Linked DNA regions of Lonchura striata. The protein of the gene in region 2 purifies or fractionates together with the protein of the main gene of each other region. This does not show direct contact. Links are inferred from orthologs where the notes say so. Each region holds a gene or a part of one and is shown on either strand. Other genes may lie near its edges.

Region 1 (8,230 bases), on a different chromosome or scaffold from region 2:
CAATGCAGGAGATGGCATGGTACACATAAAACATATTAAATGCTAGGTCAATTTATACCGAAGGCAGAGCTGCACTCCAAAACCCAAAAGGGACAGCCAGACATTACTTCTGTCCTTCTGTTCCACGAACAACAGTTAAACCTCAACATTTGCCTTTCATGTGCAATATTCTCTATTAGACCTGTGCATTCCTAGAGCTAGGGCACATACCTACACCATGCTTAAATAAAAACTTTAAAGTTCTCACTGGCAATTAGGGACAGCTTAGTCTGGAGAGCATGCAAATTTATCATGTAAACTTGAAAATAATATGAAAGATTAATAGCTGTAGGTAGAAATCTCACAAAAAACATATTTCAAATTGTTCACATTCTGCTTGTGATCTCACCACTACAAACTGCTTGTACATAGCTGCGAAGAAGTTAATATTTTGATTTACCTTCTTTAATTAGGAAGTCATTTTTCATATGAAAAAGCCCACATGTTTATAAATACCCTTTTAAAGGATCATAGCAATTTTGTCAACAAAAAGCAGCAGCATTTGTGATGGTCATTTGCTTATATGTCCTTCACTTCTCAACTAAGAAGCCTGCCAGGGTGACCAAGCTTACCCATATAAAGTTTTAGAGAAAAAAAAAAAAGTGGTTCCTATTCCTTTTTCACCCTGAAACACGCTCCAATTTCACTTTATAGGCAAGATATTTTAAGTTATTAAACTGAAATTAGGGCCCCCAATTGTTCACTACAGAATTTGGAGTTGCTCATATGAGAAGGATTTGGATAAAGCCCTTTCTGTCTGAAAGTACAGTTGAACATTTTTAGAACTGCTAATAAGACTGCACAATTATTTTCCTATCAAATCTGAAGTAATTTGGTTTTCCTAGCCAATGCCTAACTCTTACAAGAACTTTCCAAGATGACAGTTTATCATATGATACATCAATGTAAACACATGGCATAGCTCAAAACCCAGTCCCCAAACACTGTGTAACAAGATTTTTGACATAAAGCACCCACTGAAACAAAACTGAAAGAGCTACTTTGTCCTTACCCTCAAAGCATAGTATCACTCCACACATACCCACACCATTCTTTTAGGAGGCAGGGAAGAAAATTTGCATTCAAGTGTATTAGGCCAATTAAATACTTTGATCTGGAAAAAACATTTTCCACAATGCAGCTCGGGAGAAATCTAACCAATCATGATAGTAAAAAACAGCCATAATGAAATATGAATATTTGCTAGTCATAAAATACATACCAGATGTGATAAGGGAGACATTCAGACAATTAGAAGCTTTTTAACAAGCATACTCTCATACAAAAAACTGGAATCTGAGTTCAAAGCTGCTGTAGAAAGTTCTTTTCCCCTTCCTTCCACAGGTTTTGGAGAGCCACCAGTAAGTTGCACACAAAGCAAATCTTTCCATTTTAATTTTAAGAAACTTCACAATAGTTTTCCCTTCTCCTCAAGAAAAAAAATCAGATTAGATTCTTGTCCCAAAGCAGTTTGAGTATTTTAATCCTCTAAATATGTAAGTTAAACATGTCCATCGCATATATATTAGGGAGGAAGAAGTTTTATCAGCAAAATTCTTTATTCTCACACACATTATGTTATCCTTTTCATGCCAAGAGATTTCCCTAAAGTAACACACACTGTCAGCAACAGAAGCATTGAAGCCATGGCTATGAACCACTTTAAAGCAGATGTATACAAAGTACCACTGAACCTTCAGCACTGTGGCAACACTTGCTTGCTTTATCTTCCAATTTCCTTAGTTTTCTTCTTCAAATGCTTGTTTACAGTTATTGAGACTCTGCAAAAAAATGCCTCAATTATAACTGGTAAGAACTTTCAGTTGAAAAGTATGCAGAGTAAGGGCCTCCCTCACCTCAGGCAACCACTGCAATTTCCAGGGCCCTAATCACTAATATGCAGTTCAGAGAGTGGAGAGGAAAAGAAATGCTGTGAAGTAAAATCCCAATGGCATTCATACAGCTCAACATTAAGTTATGTGGACTCTGTTAAAAACTCATTGTTAAACTTCCCATGTCACTCAAATCCACTTCTACTGTTAACACCAGAAGGAACACAATGTGCACTTTTCTTCCTACAAACTTCAATTTACTCTATTAACTACTGTTAATAATGTAAATATTTTGTATAGTTAAATAATAGGAGAAAGCAAATCCACAATGTTTGCAAACCAGTTCCTTATCTTGTATACACCAGAAGTCTCAGTGCTCTGTTTTCACAACTCCTAGGCACCACAAATTAGGTTGAGAATGGTGTTTTTTCACATCCAGGAGACCCTTAATTAAGCAATGTAAAATCTTTACAAGTTCTGCAGCCTTATGTACAACAGAAAAAAGTAGTAAAATAAGTAAAATATTACCTATTAGGCAGATATTACTCTAAAAATATCCTTTCAGGCAGGAAAAGTAGAAGAAATTTTACACAAGAGATTTCTAGTTCACCGCTTTTCACTTTAGCACAGCTCAGTGACAGTCTAGGAAATCACTAACTACACTCAGTAAATGCAGAAAATAACATCCTACATTAAATGAGTGGTAAACAAATTACCCATTTGTCATTAAGAGCAAAATCTTTAGCTTTCTTTCCTTTACACCGTGCTTTCCATTACAGTGCCAAGCGTTAGTAAAAAGTCAGAATTAGGAATGAGATGTGAGGATGGTAATTGGCTGCAGCAGCAGCAGCACCAGCCTCGGTTCGGGCGCCGCGGCTGCTGCTCCCCTGCCTCGCCAGGTGCCCGAGGAGGCACCGGCAGGGCCGGGGGCCGCTGCCCACGGCCGGGGGCACCGCGGCTCTGCCAGAGCCCCTTCGGACACGGGAGACACGCCTGTCCTCCCAGCCCCGACCGCCCAGAGCAAACAGATGCGCTCAGAGGCCAAGGCTGCCGCGGACAGCCCCTGCTGCAGAGCAGCCGGCCCGCCCCGACCCGGTCCCGCGGCGCCGGGGCACGGCAGCGCCCGCGGCCGGGGCTGCCCCGGCCCGGCCCGGCTCCCGCAGCCCCCCGCGCCCCCGGCCGCGCCCGCCGCCGCTCACCCAGCTTGCCGCGGGACTCCTCCAGCTTCTGGATCTGGTTCTCCAGGAACAGCACGGCCACCCCGAACACCAGCACCGCCAGCAGCTGCAACTTGGGCGGCAGCATAATCCTGAGCAGCCCCATGAGCAGCAGCAGCAGCGCCGCCCGCCCGGGATCACGACATAACGCGGGGCCCGGCCCGCGGGGGCCGGCGGGAGCCGCGGCGACGGCGCGGCCGAGCAGGGACGGAGGGAGCGCGGCCGGGGGCGCGCACAGGGCCCGGGGGCGCGCACAGGGCCCGGCGCCGCCGCTCTCACATCGCCGCGCGCGGCCCGCAGCGCGCCCGCCCCGCCCGCGCGGCCCGGCCCGGCCCGGCCCGGCCCGGCCCCCGCCGCGCCCCGCCCCGCCCCGCCCGCCCTGCGCGCGCTGCTCGGCAACCGAACGCCCGGCCGCGCGCCCGCCCCGCCCCCGCCGCCGCCGGCCGCGCTGGGCCCCGCCCCGCGGCCCCGCCATTGGGCGGCGCTGCCGCGGCCCCGCCCCTCGCGCTGTCCGATTGGCCCGGCGCGGGACTCGCCCCGCCTCCCCAGCCGCGCTGCGCCGCCGGAGCGGGGCGGTGTCCCGCCTCTATGCGTCCCTTTCTGATTGGAAGGCGCTGCTTGCGGTCCCGCCCATCCGCCCCTCCTCGTTGGGCACGGGCACCGCAGGCCGTGGGGAAAGCACAATGGTATTGGTCGGGCCGGCTGTCAGTCACCGGGCTGGGGCCGAGGTGACGGTTGGCAGTTCCCGAGAAAGGGAAAAGGGCTTTATTCGGGGTGGTTTCCGCAATGCCCGACCAGCGTTGGGGAACGGTAGTTCCTCCAGCCTCGCTGCGAAGCACTGCTCTGAACAGGCTAAAATGTCTTTGCTCTAGAATTCCAGGAGATACTCTGGGTTAGCAGTTTCTGCTTGCAGTGCTGGGGCTGGGAGCAAGTCTATGCTCTCCCGCATCAGGCGGTGTGTCGGTCACCCGCCGTGGGTGAGGTCCTTCCGCGGCCCGGCGGCGCTGGCGGGGCGCTCGGCACCGAGATGGCGGCGGCGGCCGAGCTGCGGGCGCTGGGGCGGCGCTGGCTCTGCTGGCTCCTGGGGCTGCAGGCGGTGAGAGCCCGGCCGGCGCGGTCGCGCTCGGGGCTGAGCGCGGCTGCAGCTCCTGCGAGAAAGAGCGGGGTTGAGGGCGGGGAAGGCGGCGTAAGACGTGGCCCGGGGCGCGCCTCCTCCCGCTCCTGCGGCCGTGGCGCCTCTTTTGCGTTCCGTGTCGGAAACTGGGCTCTACTTCTGCCCTTTTTCTAAAATAGTTTGCATTGGCGCTGCCTTTTTTTTTAATACAGTAAATTATTTGGTGTGAAAACAAAGCAACAGTGTAGTATGTATTTGGAGCCAAAGCCTTTGTGGAGAAAACGCTGATGAAATGAGGCGCATCACTTACTAAGTGCCTGAAATTACCTTGTTCTGATGGGAATTTGCTTTCTGAAGTGTGAGGGGTTTTTTCCAATCCCAATCAGAGACATTTATTATGATTAGTGATTTATTGTTTCCTGAAAATGTGGTAGTTAAGATACTAAAAATTGTGTAAAAATATTAGGGATAGAGACTTTCTTCTATTTATTTTTTCCTTTACCTCTGTGTACTTTTATTCTCAAGGTGTTTTGAGCTTGCTATGTAACCAAAACCACTTGAGTGAGGAATTATCATGAAATGGAGCCTTTACTTGCTTTCATACACTGTTAGTGTTTTGGTTGGTTCTTTCTCAAACACACAACCCAAAAAAAAAAAGTCCTCAGGAGATTCTTGGCTTTACATTCATGGATTGGGGATCTGCTGGGCAAAGATGTCACAGAGAGGCTGCTGGAAGCAAAGTGACAGTGCTACAGCCCAGTTATTGCTCCAGGGGAACAGTGACACTTCAGTGACACTGAAGTGAAAACATGACAGTAAAACATCAAAGGGGCGGATGGCAAGCAGCAAGGTGCAAGAAAATGGTTTTAGTTATTGGCATCATTAATTTAATAAGTGAGCCATAATTAAAATATAGCTTCAGCAGGGTTCAGAATGCTCCTTGGGGGCTTTTTATACTACTGTGTCATTGTTGTATTTCTTATTGCCAGTATTCCTTAGAAAACAAATACTTGAAAAAAGGTAAATACTCAGTACTTTGAAAACTAATTACCTTAGTAAAAATCCTTAAAAAAGGTTAAATTATTCCAGTAGAACAGGGTTCCATTGTCATACAGTGCCATGTAGGAAGAAGAAAAATAGCTTTTTTCCTGATAAAATAGTGATTTCAGAGTAGGTTTTTTGTGTTTTATACTTCTCTGTTCGTGCTTTAACTCTGACTTTTTTAGTACCTACAGAGAAATAGAATAATGAGGCACCTAATACATTTTCTACCAATCCTCAATCCATAATGTGTTCTATCTGTCACACAAGTGACATGTCTTTCCTTCAGCTGCAGGCTGGCCACTTCAGCAGAGGAAATGGGTTTTGTCTCTACGTAACTTGGGTGTGCTGCATGGATTAGATGGCATGTGAATGTGAGGAGAAGTCTGTTTTGCTGAATGACAAACATAGTTTTTCTCCTGTACTTTTCTGTTGGACCCAGCATAGTTCTTCTGAGTCTTGGCTTGTCATCATCCAGTTGAGTTTGCTGGTGCCTGTCACAGCTCTGAGCACAGTGATGCTCATTGTTTCTCTGGTGCTTTGCATGTACTGGGTTGTGCCTGGGGTCTTTTACCCAGACTGAAAAGCATCTGGGAAAGCCACCTCCTGTCTCTCCCTTCCTTATTTCCTCTCTCACATTTTCCCCTCCAAAGCAAGCAGCTGCAAGGGGAGGTTTTAAGCCAATGTGTAAAAAAGTGGGAATGAGAATTTGCTACAAGAAAGGTATTGAGGGGCTGGAGTGAGCCCAGAGGAGGACAGTGGAGCTGGGGAAGGGTGTGGAGCACAGGTTCTGTGAGGAGCACCTGGGGGAGCTCATCTGGGAGAAAAGGAGGTTCAGGGGGAGCTTCACAGTCTCTACAAGTGCCTGAAAGGAGAGTGTGGCCAGCTGGGGGTCGGCCTGTTCTCCCAGGTAGCAAGTGATGGGATGAGAGAAGATTGCTTCAGCTTGCACAAGGGGAGGTTTAGAGAGGATATTAGGAATAATTTCTTCACTGAAAAGGTGGTCAGGCACTGGAATGGGCTGCCCAGGGAAGTGGTGGAATCACCATCCCTGGGAGTGTTCAAAAGGCACATGGATGTGGCACTTGGGACAGGGTTTGGGGCTGAACACTGTAGTGCTGGGTTAATGATTGGACTCAATTATAATCTTAGAGGTCTTTTCCACCCTTAGTGATTCTATGAGAACAAAACCCAAATATCATTTCAGTGTTGTCATTGGTTGCGTTATTTTGGCGCCGATAAAAAGCAGAGATGGTGTTTTGCATAGAAACCATGTAATTGAATGGCCTGTCTTAAACTTTTGCTGATAAATCAGAATTGCAGGTTTTTATCTGCACTTCCACTTAATAGTGTGTGCAATTTTCCTGGAACATTAATGCAATCATGAAATTAAAATCCTACCTGGATGTCGTTTTGAGCACTTTGGTTAATTTCATCACTTCCTGGTGTGTTTTTCCTGAGTTTAGCTGTTACATTACTTTCCTTGAGAGTTTTCAGTGATCCAAAACTTACTGAAATTCTTTTTGAAGAGGAGGCTTTGGAAAGCTGTAATCATGTGCATTTCAGCTAATTCATTACCTTTGGGTTTTCTTCTTAACTTGAACTTAGCAATAAGAAAGCAATAGAGCTATCAGAAGTGTATATAAATTATTTTTGGAAGGTCTGATACCTTGGAATGTATATATTACGAATGTCTAGAACTCCCTGATAGGTCAAGACCCTCCTCCTCAGTAGGGTGGTGTTTTGAACCCTAGGGCTGACCATTTAGGCATTACTGTAAAACAGTCACAAGTGACTAACTTGTTCTTTCTAATCATTGCAGCATTTAAAGCCATCTTTTAACAAAATAAATTAATATTAAGTGTAACATTGTGTTGACTTTCAGGTAAGTGTTTATGGAGCACAGTTGTCATCAGAAGCTTGCAGAGAGCTGGGCTTCTCCAGTAACTTGCTGTGCAGTTCTTGCAACCTTCTTGGGCAGTTCAATCTGAATCAGTTGGACCCGTTCTGCAGGGAGTGCTGCCAAGAAGAAGCTCAGCTGGAAACTAGAAAGGTGAGTTTTGGACTAATCCCTTGTGGAATAATTTAACATGTCATCTTTATGAAACTTTTCATTTAAAAAAATACATGAGAATCTGGGTTATCATCTCAAGAGGAAAAAGCAGCATTTATTCATAGCCAAATATAAATCTTACAGGGTCTAGATTTCCAGACTTGCGATACTGCTGTAAAATAATGGCCCTGTACCAACAGGGAACCTTTGGTTCTTTGGCAGCCCTTCTCTGGTGTGACATCACCATATTTGGGAACTATATCCAGCTTCTTTTAAAAGGAAGATCCATGGGATTGGAAGAGGGCAGAAGAAGAGGATGAGGAGAGTGGTGCTTGATGACAGCTCCTGCTTGGTCACTGGCCCATAGCACAATGGCCAAGATAGCTGAGTTCAGGCCTGGGCAACAAGAGGCTGCTGCAGCCTCCAGGCCAGCTCCTGGAGTGGCACAAACCTGATGGCAGCATGACTGCTCAATTCCATCCTGCAGCCCTGAGAACTGCTGGGTATTTTGGGAATGATCTGTCTAAAGAGCTCATGCTGTGCTTCAATCTGTTTAAGGCAAAACCTTTCCTTTATCTGTAGTAAATAAATATCTGTGATCCTTAAGGTATGTTATCAATGAAGAATTGTTAGAATGCATGTTTTCTAATATGTGGTAATTTAAGAGTGTTCTAGAATATAGTGAAGACAAATGAATTATCAAGAAAGTAGAAGTTTCAAGGATGAGAGGTGCTGAAATTATTTTTAAGGGTTAGGAGATAGTGAAATAACTGATGTAATGAAATTAATGATGAAATCTAGCAGGTTTTTCCTGTCAATTAAATTCAGCCTAATATTTAAAAAAGAAAGCCTGCCTTTAATTTTTAATAAAATTACTGATTACAGTGTTAGGTATAATATATTAAGTATCAAGAAGCATATGTTTGAGATTGGC
Region 2 (8,476 bases):
GTGGTGTCTGACCTACTCAAGAGGGAATGCCAAAGCCACCTGTCCAAAACCATCTTGTCTGGTTCTAGGTTCACAGCAAAGCTCCAGCTCCAGCTCCAGCTCCAGCTCCAGCCTGTACTTGGCTACACCTGTATCAGCAAATTAAGGATGATGAGGGCTCAGGATGGTGTGCCAGTCCTCAACTGTCCATGGTGTTAAACAGTTCCTGCTACAGGTACAGTCTAAGCAAGATATCCCTCTCTCAGGAAATGCCTGTGCACAGTTCATGGGATAGCATCAGATTGTTCTTCCCAGTGAGAAGTTTGGAGGTGGTCACCCTGCTACGGAGATGTTTTGGAGAAGAGTTTTGATGAATGGAAATAAGCTGTACTGTGCCCTCAATGACAGAAAACAAGCCCACCTTCCTGAGTGACACAAGTCTCGCTTCTGAGACTGGGATGATACAAATGACACAGATGTTGTTGGGACATCTTGGATGACCTCAGTCATGTGCTGTTAGAGGTAATTAACTTCTGGTTTTTTTGGTTAAACAGGACTGCTGCATTACTCCAATTACATATTTTGTTACATCTTCACACTTGGCTTGATAAATCTTGCAGAAAATGCTGAACTGCTTAGTCAAAGCAGCTCTGCCCTCCTCTGCCTCACCTATCATGGTCTTGTGGTAGACAAGGCAGTATTCATCTCACACATCCATCTATGCTTGGTAGTTAAACACAGGGCATGTCCCTAAGCACTGTTCCACAAAAAGCTGTATTGACTGCTTTTTTATTAGTCTGCTAAGCTTGTTGAAGACAGAAAATGCTTATGGAACAGAATGGTTAATGTCCGCACTATTACATCCTCTTACTTTCCAAAATAGGGTGCTTGTATGTAAACAGGGAATGGCCACAGGCTTGTGCTAACAGCTCTTGTGTCTAAGGATTATTTGAGATACTGTTAGTTGATATGGATGGGTTCCACAGATTAAAACTAACTAGGACAGGTAGACTAGCTGATTAATTAAAGAGAACAAAGGATTAAGGTGCAAGAAGTGATTTTTGAATCACTTTGATTTTAGTGTAATTCTAGCAGAGAAATTTCAGAATCATTGTTTGGTTGGGGTCTTTTTCCTATTAATTGATACTTGGTGTCTCGGGTACTTCAGCTTGGCATAAAAGAGAATATTTCTTTCCCAGAACTATTTTAGGAGCCATTATCTCAGACCACCACTCCCCTTATTTATGCAACCACATCTATAATAACAGAGGACCAGGGTTCTATGGAAGTGATAGGCAGAAGCAGATGGCAATGTGACAGGTATAGCTGTTGATCTCACATGGAGCAGCCAATGAAAAAGCACAGCAGTAGAACATTGTTTTAGGGGTTTTTGTGAATGCTTACCCTCAAAATGTCCTCCAGCCTCTCTGGTGGGTAATTGTTAATGAGCATGGTGCAATTGTAATTGACATTAAACAATTTCTTTTTTCCTTTAGTGTTTATGCCTTTGCCTCATAATCACTGAAGGATTTTTCTACAGCTCTGCCTTTGTCCTGGAAAAGAAAAACCAGTTCCTTGCACTTTTCTTTAATGAATGTAGATCCTACCAGCATTTTTTCAGGATTCCACCAAGTAGATGTATTTTTTTATGGTAAAATGCCAAAATAAGCACTGTACTAAAGTTTTGGCACTATTGATTACAGCTTCATAATTACTTTCGATATACTACATATGTTTCAATTAAGGTGCTCCACTAGAAAGATACAGTTCTTTTGGGTAGTATTTTTATTTCATTAGCACCAGTAGTCCCATGCAGCAGTCTCACATGGCTTTTGGGATCCACTTTAATCTCCTGATCTCTTTCTAAACAGTCTTTTAGGTTGCAAAAGACCTGTAAGATCATCAAGTCCAATCATTAACCCAGCACTGCCAGGTCCAGCACTTAGCCCTCAGTGTCCCTACACATCTTCTAAATACCTTCAGGAATGGTGACTTCACCATGTCCCTTGCACGACATCCCTTTTGTTGTTTTTCTTAAAACTTAAAGACGTTTTTCTTAATATCCAATCTAAATCTCCTCTGATGCAATTTTAATTGGTTGCTCAGCCAGATGTTCCTCGTTGCTTATTTGGTTTTCTTTCCTTAACTATCACTCTCCTCCTTTCTAGAATTCCACTTTATTTTGGACAGTTTGAATCTTGATGTTTTTTCAAGATTCATGTTCAGACGCTGTCTCATCCTGCAGCACACTGGACAGTTTTCCCATAGTGGTCACTTATGAATGGTAATGGAAATGGGATCTTGTCAAGCATGGAATAGACACCATGTTGTTCTTCCAATACCCACTGCTCTTTTGGGCTTTTTCCGTAGTTTTGGGTTCAGCCATTGAAGTTTCCTAATCAGTGTTTTTTCCAGACTGGGAGCATTGTGCTTCATGGGAGGTAATGTCAAAATCCTAATCTAAGTCCATCAGTGTCTACCATTATTGAATCCTGTGCTGCACCAAAAGCAGCATGGTCTGCAGGCCGTTCTCCCTCTCTGCTCTTGTCAGACCCCACCTGGAGTGCCATGTACAGTTCTCGTGTCTCCAACATAAAAAGGACATGGAATGGTTGGAGCAAGTCCAAAGGGTGGTCACAATGTTGGTAAGAGGACTGGGACGCTGTTGGGGGTTGGGTTTCGGTTTTTTCTGTTCTTTCCTATGGAAACTTGTAGAATTTCTTTGCACTGAGTTGCTAATAGGAACCGATGGTTTGAGAAGGGCAGGGAAGGGGAACTCTTTTAGTTTTTGGGAGTTTTTCTGGGGGCGATGTGGAGGATGGGGAGATTCAGGCTGAGAGAAGGGGCTGAGGACAGCTCCGGGCTGGCTCTCACTTTCTCGGCACTGGAGAGGGGCTGTGGGCACAGTGGAGAGAAGTCGCCACCACTGTGCAGCTCCATCCTTGCTGCCTTCTCCTACTACCACTGCAATCCAGCAGGGAACCTTTCTTCTGCCGCTGGGCCTCCACATTCCCCTGCCCTGCCAGGACACCCCACAGCTTCCAGCTATTTGCCGTGGAGTTTTGGGACACTCTCTTTCACTGCCCCAGGATTTCAGCTCATTCCTGCCATTTCCAGCCTGCTGCTCCCGAGAATCCTGCGAGGGACACCAAGATCGGCCGCCCCGGGGGTTTGTGAACAAAGCCTCTCCTCCGCCCCGCCTGTCTCCGCCGAGCTGCCATTGCCAGGGCGCCCCGAGCCCGCCGCAGCGCCCCCTGCAGCCGCGGGGGAGTCACCGCACCCGCGCCGCCCGCCGGCAGCCAGCAGCGCCCCCGCTGGCCGTGCCCGGAACTGCACGGAAGGGAAAGTGGCGCCCCGAAAGGTGTCAGCGCGTTCCGGGCTCGGTCTGGTGTTAATGCTGTAGTAGTTGTTGTTTGCTCGCTTTACTGTACATACCAGTAAAGAACTGATATTCCTACTCCCATATCTTTGCCTAAGAGCCCCTTAATTTCAAGATTATAATAATTTGGAGGGAAGATGTTCACATTCTCTGCTCCAAGGGAGGCTTTTCTGCCTTCCCTAGCAGACATCTATCTTGTAAACCAAGACAAACATCTCTTCTGTGAAGACAGACAGGGAGACGTGGTACTGAAATTAGCTGGATAGAAACTTTCTAGCACAGTTCTGAGTACCAGCTAGCAGGCATTCTTTATTAGAACATGCTGGGCTTTTTGAGGACATTTCCCCTAACTGATGCCCTGAGTGTCAGGTGTACAGTTTTTATCATAAACGCTGATTACATATTCATTAGCTATCCCTACTTCCTCGGCTTTATTTTACAAAGTCACAACACTTATGAAAGACCTTCTATTGGTTCTTTGGGGTCTGTCATCAAAGTCCAGTGTCCTTTTCAGGGGGATGTTCTTTCACCCCTGCTTTTGATTAAGTACAGTATCATTGCTTTGCTTAACTTCTACTATTTCAGCCTTGCAGAGCTGATCGGGCATCCTGCTTGCATTTTGCATTACTTTTGTTAGCCTGATTTACATCCTTTATTTATTTATCCAAGGCTGTGCTGTTCTCTTCTACTGTCCTTGGTAGGAAGTTGTTCCTTATCAAGTGAGTGAAATGCTGTTCTACTGTGCTTATCAGGGGCTGTTCAGCATGAAGAAAAGGTTGTGTGGGGACCTCACAGCAGCCTTCCAGTATCTTAGGGGGGCCAACAGGGAAGCTGGAAAAGGACTTTTCGTCAGGAACTGTAGTGATAGGAAAAGAAGTAATGGGTAAAATTTGAAAAGGGGGGGGGGGAATTTAAGTTAGATATTAGAAAGAAATTTTTTACTCTGAGAGTGGTGAAACACTGGAAGAGGTTGCCCAGGGAGGCTGTGGATACCCCAACCGTGGCAGTCTTCAAGGACACACTGGGTAACGCTTTGAGCAACCTGGTCGAGTGGGAGGTGTCCCTGCCCACAGCAGGAATGTTTAGGACGGATGAACTTTAAGGTCCATTCCGAACCCTTAACATTCTGTGATAACCCAGTGCATCCATTTTATGCTGGCATCCTTTGCTCAACCACGTTCTGCAGAATCCATTAGCTCTTAGAGCAGGATGTGTGCTACAGCTGAATGGATGATTTAGTCCAACCCAGGCCCTCAGTTCTACTCCCAGGGAGCACGAGGAGAAAAAGAAAAACCGAGTAGCTATTCAGCGCGGCATGAGCCGTCTGCAGGGAGCTGGCTTGTGAAGCCCCTTCCTGCCCCACCTCCGCGGCCGTGCCCCGCCACGCGGTTCAGCTGCGCGGGCGCTGCGCCGGGCTCCCAGGCGCCGGGCCGCCCCTCCATCCCGCCGCTACCCCCGGCCCACCCCTACACCACGTGTAACAGCGCCTGCCATCCATTGGGAGGCAGGGCCGGGCGGGCGTGTCCGCGCAGGAGATCTAAGGCGGCGGCGGGGAGCCGGGGGTCGTGGCTGCGCTGCCTCGCCGCTTGCCCGAGCCCCCGGCTGGGTGAGTGTGGGACGGGGCGGGCGGGCCCCACGCGGTGCGTCCATTTCGCGCGGTGCAGCAGGCACGGCGCGGCGCGGCACGGCGCGGCGCTCCCGGCCCGCTGCGGGCCCCGCGGCGCGTCCCTGCCTCGCCTGACCGCCACCCCCATCCCTTCTTTTGCCTAGCTTCTCTGCGGGGCGAGCAGCCGCAGGGAGCGTGCTGTGCTGGAGGTGAAGGCCCCGGTGCCGAGGAGAGACCCTGGGCCATGTCCCGAAGCCCTTTTCTGCCGTGCTGTGCTTTGCTTCCTAAGTCAAATTGCAGAAGACTGAGAATTTACCGAGAATGGGGGTATCGCCCATAGGGCTCATAGCCAGCCCAGTATCCCAGGAGTTCTTGGAGCCTGCTGCTCCCAAACCCGCTCCTCTGAGCAGGACAGGGAATTATCTCCGTTTGGATTGTCAGTACTTTGCAGGCAGCTGTTCTGGTTAAGAGATGATGCGTTTCATCGTTTTCTGCATATGTATGTGTGAATGTGTGGGTGACAGATGTGATGGAGCAAGGGGAACCCACTAAAAATCCTTAAGAGGAAAATTGTGTGTAGCTACGGCTGGAGAGGAAGATTGAGACTAGATTGGGAATTGCTAGTTATCTCTGTTGTCAGCTGCTAGAAACTTTAATTTTGGAGCAAGGTGGTGTTTTTGTAGGTGCTGTATAGAGTCGTGACAGAAAGGCAATTGCAGCTCTACACAGGCTGCAGATCTGAGCCAAAGAGTTGATGATAATGGTGCTCATTTGATAGCCGGCTCACTTGCCTGTGGTCATTTGCAAATGTTACTTTGTGCTTGAACAACGACGGCATGGTGAAGGATACCCTACCCTGCCTCCCTTTGCCTGCCTCTGTGGGCTCTGCTAAGCCACGGGGACAAGTGTTGAAGATGTGGTTACACATGGCAATGCAAGCGTCATGTGGGACCCTCTGCAGTGGCACAGCAATGCCTCTTGAAGCCCTTAGTTCACTCGCTGATGCTTGACTGCTGTCTCCAAGTTAGAGGTAAATACAATGAACACTTGGAAAGAACAGGCAGAAATTTATCCTTCTGGTCAGGTGCTCTACCAACTTGTGTTGCCTTCAGTGGCCATCTGGACATGTTTTTTGGACAAGCTTTCCATATAATGCAAAAGACTGTAACGGCACAGGCTCCGTAGTTGCAAGTGCTGACCCTGGAACAAAGCAGGAGCAAGCTTTGCCACAAGCTTTGAAAGTTACAAGCTTTGCATTCAAGTACTTGAAGTATCTTGCATTTTGAGTGATCTGACAGGGTCAGACCTTGACTGTGCTCTATCACATGCATGCTTTAGATGGTCACGTTGGCTTTGAATTAAAGCCTTTTTTTTGGGCAGGGGAGCTAATTGGTGTTTAGTCCCTGACTTATGCCACTTTTTGGTGGTATTTGTAAAATTTTGAGTCTTGCTGCTTATAGGGCTGTGCTTAACAGTGAGGAGGTGTGTTCAGAAGGCACTTCTTATTTCAAGTGGGTGTAACAGAAACCTGAGGTCTACTAGGCTTCTAATTCAGGCACTTCCGTTGTGTGTGTGGTTGAGATGCAATATGCTCTTCACTCCTCATGGAGTATATTCTTGCAATATCTTTTCTAATCGGAAGGCATTATCTCAGAGAAGAGGAAGCTAGTAACTGTTTAACCAGTTACTGGAGAAACCAGTTCCAAGGCGTATTTTTGCAAGATCTGTCACTCCTTTTTTTTTCCTTCTCTTTTCCTTTCTTTTTTTTTTTTTCTTCCTCCTTCCTTCCTGAGTAGTCTGTTGCCAGGTGGCAGGTAGTATTCATTCTCATGTTGATATGCTTGAGTTCTGTGTCTCTGCTTTCAGTTGTGTGACATAGGAAATAGTTAGATTTGGTCCTCTTGGAGTCATTTTCCAACCTTAACAATAGCATGATTCTGAGATGACAGGAGTGAGTTCCACTCTAGCTAATGTTGTGCACAGTTGCTGGCCTGGTGTGTGCAAGAGGGAGGGAGAAAAAAAAGAGTAGTGGGAAAAGAAGAAAAAGTACATGGGAAAGAAGAGAGGGAGAAATATGGTTCGAGTGAAGGAGGGCAGGGGTCTTACTGCAATTACTGCCTCTGCTACCTAGTTCACTCTTGATCTAGCATGTTCCTTAACCCTGAGGACAGGTTAACAAGACTTTGGTAGCCTTTCAGAAATGTCACTTCCAATTGTATCCTAGGTTTAAGTGAATAGAAAGCAAACTGGTAAGTTTAATTTTCTTCTCTTGCCCCATATCTGTGATGCTAAAAGCATCAGTGTAGAGTGGGGCAGGAGGAGAATAGAGTTCCTTTGTCTGCAGATGTGCTGAGTAGATGTTGGCTTGATCCTGATGGGATTTATTGGTTCTGCCATCCTGGTTACCAAGGCAGATGGGGATGCGACACAGCCCCTTTGCCACTCCTGAAGGATGAGCTAGGAAATCCTGCTGATTTAACTCTGTGGAGTGGTGCGGGGAGATATTTCAGTGCTTTGGGCAGAGTTGTTTGGGGTCAGCTGCAGTCAATGCTGACCCAGAGTTAGTAAGTTAGTAAACCAGGATGGGTGTTCTGTATCCTAGATTTTTTTTTTGCATTACCTGTTATATCCCCATCTTTCATTATCCCAAGGTCAAAATCTTTGAAAATCTGTCACGTGTTGAATGGTGTTGAAGGTGGCATTGATCTGGCCATATGTACTCATCCATCTCCAAAATGGTTAGCCAGGAGAGGGATGGGCATTCCGGGATGTGATTCACCTCAGCCCTGTACGCTTAAGCAAATGAGTTGTGACCTGACATGCTCATGTACTCATCTGCTTTCCACCGAGTATAAAAGAAAGCATGAATGATCCAAGTGTTTATCTCAAAAAACTTGTGGGGTTCTTGGAAACCTCAAGGACTTTGGGAAGAGTTACAGCAGTTTTGCCATAAGGGTCGGTTTGTTTTGGTACTTGGGCACTCCCTTGTTAGTGCAGTTGTTGCAGTCTTGCTGGCTACTAAAACCTATTTAAAAAAAAAAGAAAAAGAAAAAGGTATAACTGAGTCTGATGGTCAAACAAAACAAGGGGCGGCTCTCACTTGACATATGATGGGCCCACTAGTTGCAGGATTCTTGACTATTGTCTGTGGTTCCTGGGTCGTTTGGAGGTGTCAGGGATCAGGAGCTAGGGCTCACACCTTCCTGTTGTGGTTTGTAGAAATCTAATGCCTCTTGCCCTGGCAGAACTGGCTGGAGCTGCCTTCCCCTGCTGGTGAGTCAGCAGCTGATGCCCTTGCCAGGGTCACTGACGCTGCTGGAGATCACCAAGGTGGCAGATCATAAATCCTGCGAGTAGTATCAGAAGTGCCTGATTTCAGAGTTTCCAAAATAGAATACTGTGGGATGCTTGGTTCTAGGTACGTTTTTTCAGTTTCTGTTGGCTTTTGGTTTTGGTCTTGTTGTTTTCATTTTTTTCTTGACTCAAGTGAAAAACAGTTCAGAAAACTTTAT

What was found.
Region 1: the proteins of SLC7A1 (region 2) and HS2ST1 purify together in Homo sapiens (co-immunoprecipitation; 3 studies listed by BioGRID and IntAct, counting the BioPlex papers as one, with this or other methods). This does not show direct contact. The link is inferred for Lonchura striata from reciprocal best matches to the Homo sapiens genes SLC7A1 and HS2ST1.

Annotation. Positions count from the first base shown.
Region 1 is NC_134611.1:18,750,288-18,758,517, reverse strand, and holds the start of HS2ST1 (heparan sulfate 2-O-sulfotransferase 1), read right to left. Parts: upstream 3,305-8,230; 5' UTR 3,195-3,304; coding exon 3,071-3,194; intron 1-3,070. UniProt on the Homo sapiens protein: Catalyzes the transfer of a sulfo group from 3'-phospho-5'-adenylyl sulfate (PAPS) to the 2-OH position of iduronic acid (IdoA) or glucuronic acid (GlcA) within the heparan sulfate (HS) chain and participates in HS biosynthesis.
Region 2 is NC_134604.1:68,389,111-68,397,586, forward strand, and holds the start of SLC7A1 (high affinity cationic amino acid transporter 1), read left to right. Parts: upstream 1-4,848; 5' UTR 4,849-4,964; intron 4,965-8,476. UniProt on the Homo sapiens protein: High-affinity, low capacity permease involved in the transport of the cationic amino acids (arginine, lysine and ornithine) in non-hepatic tissues.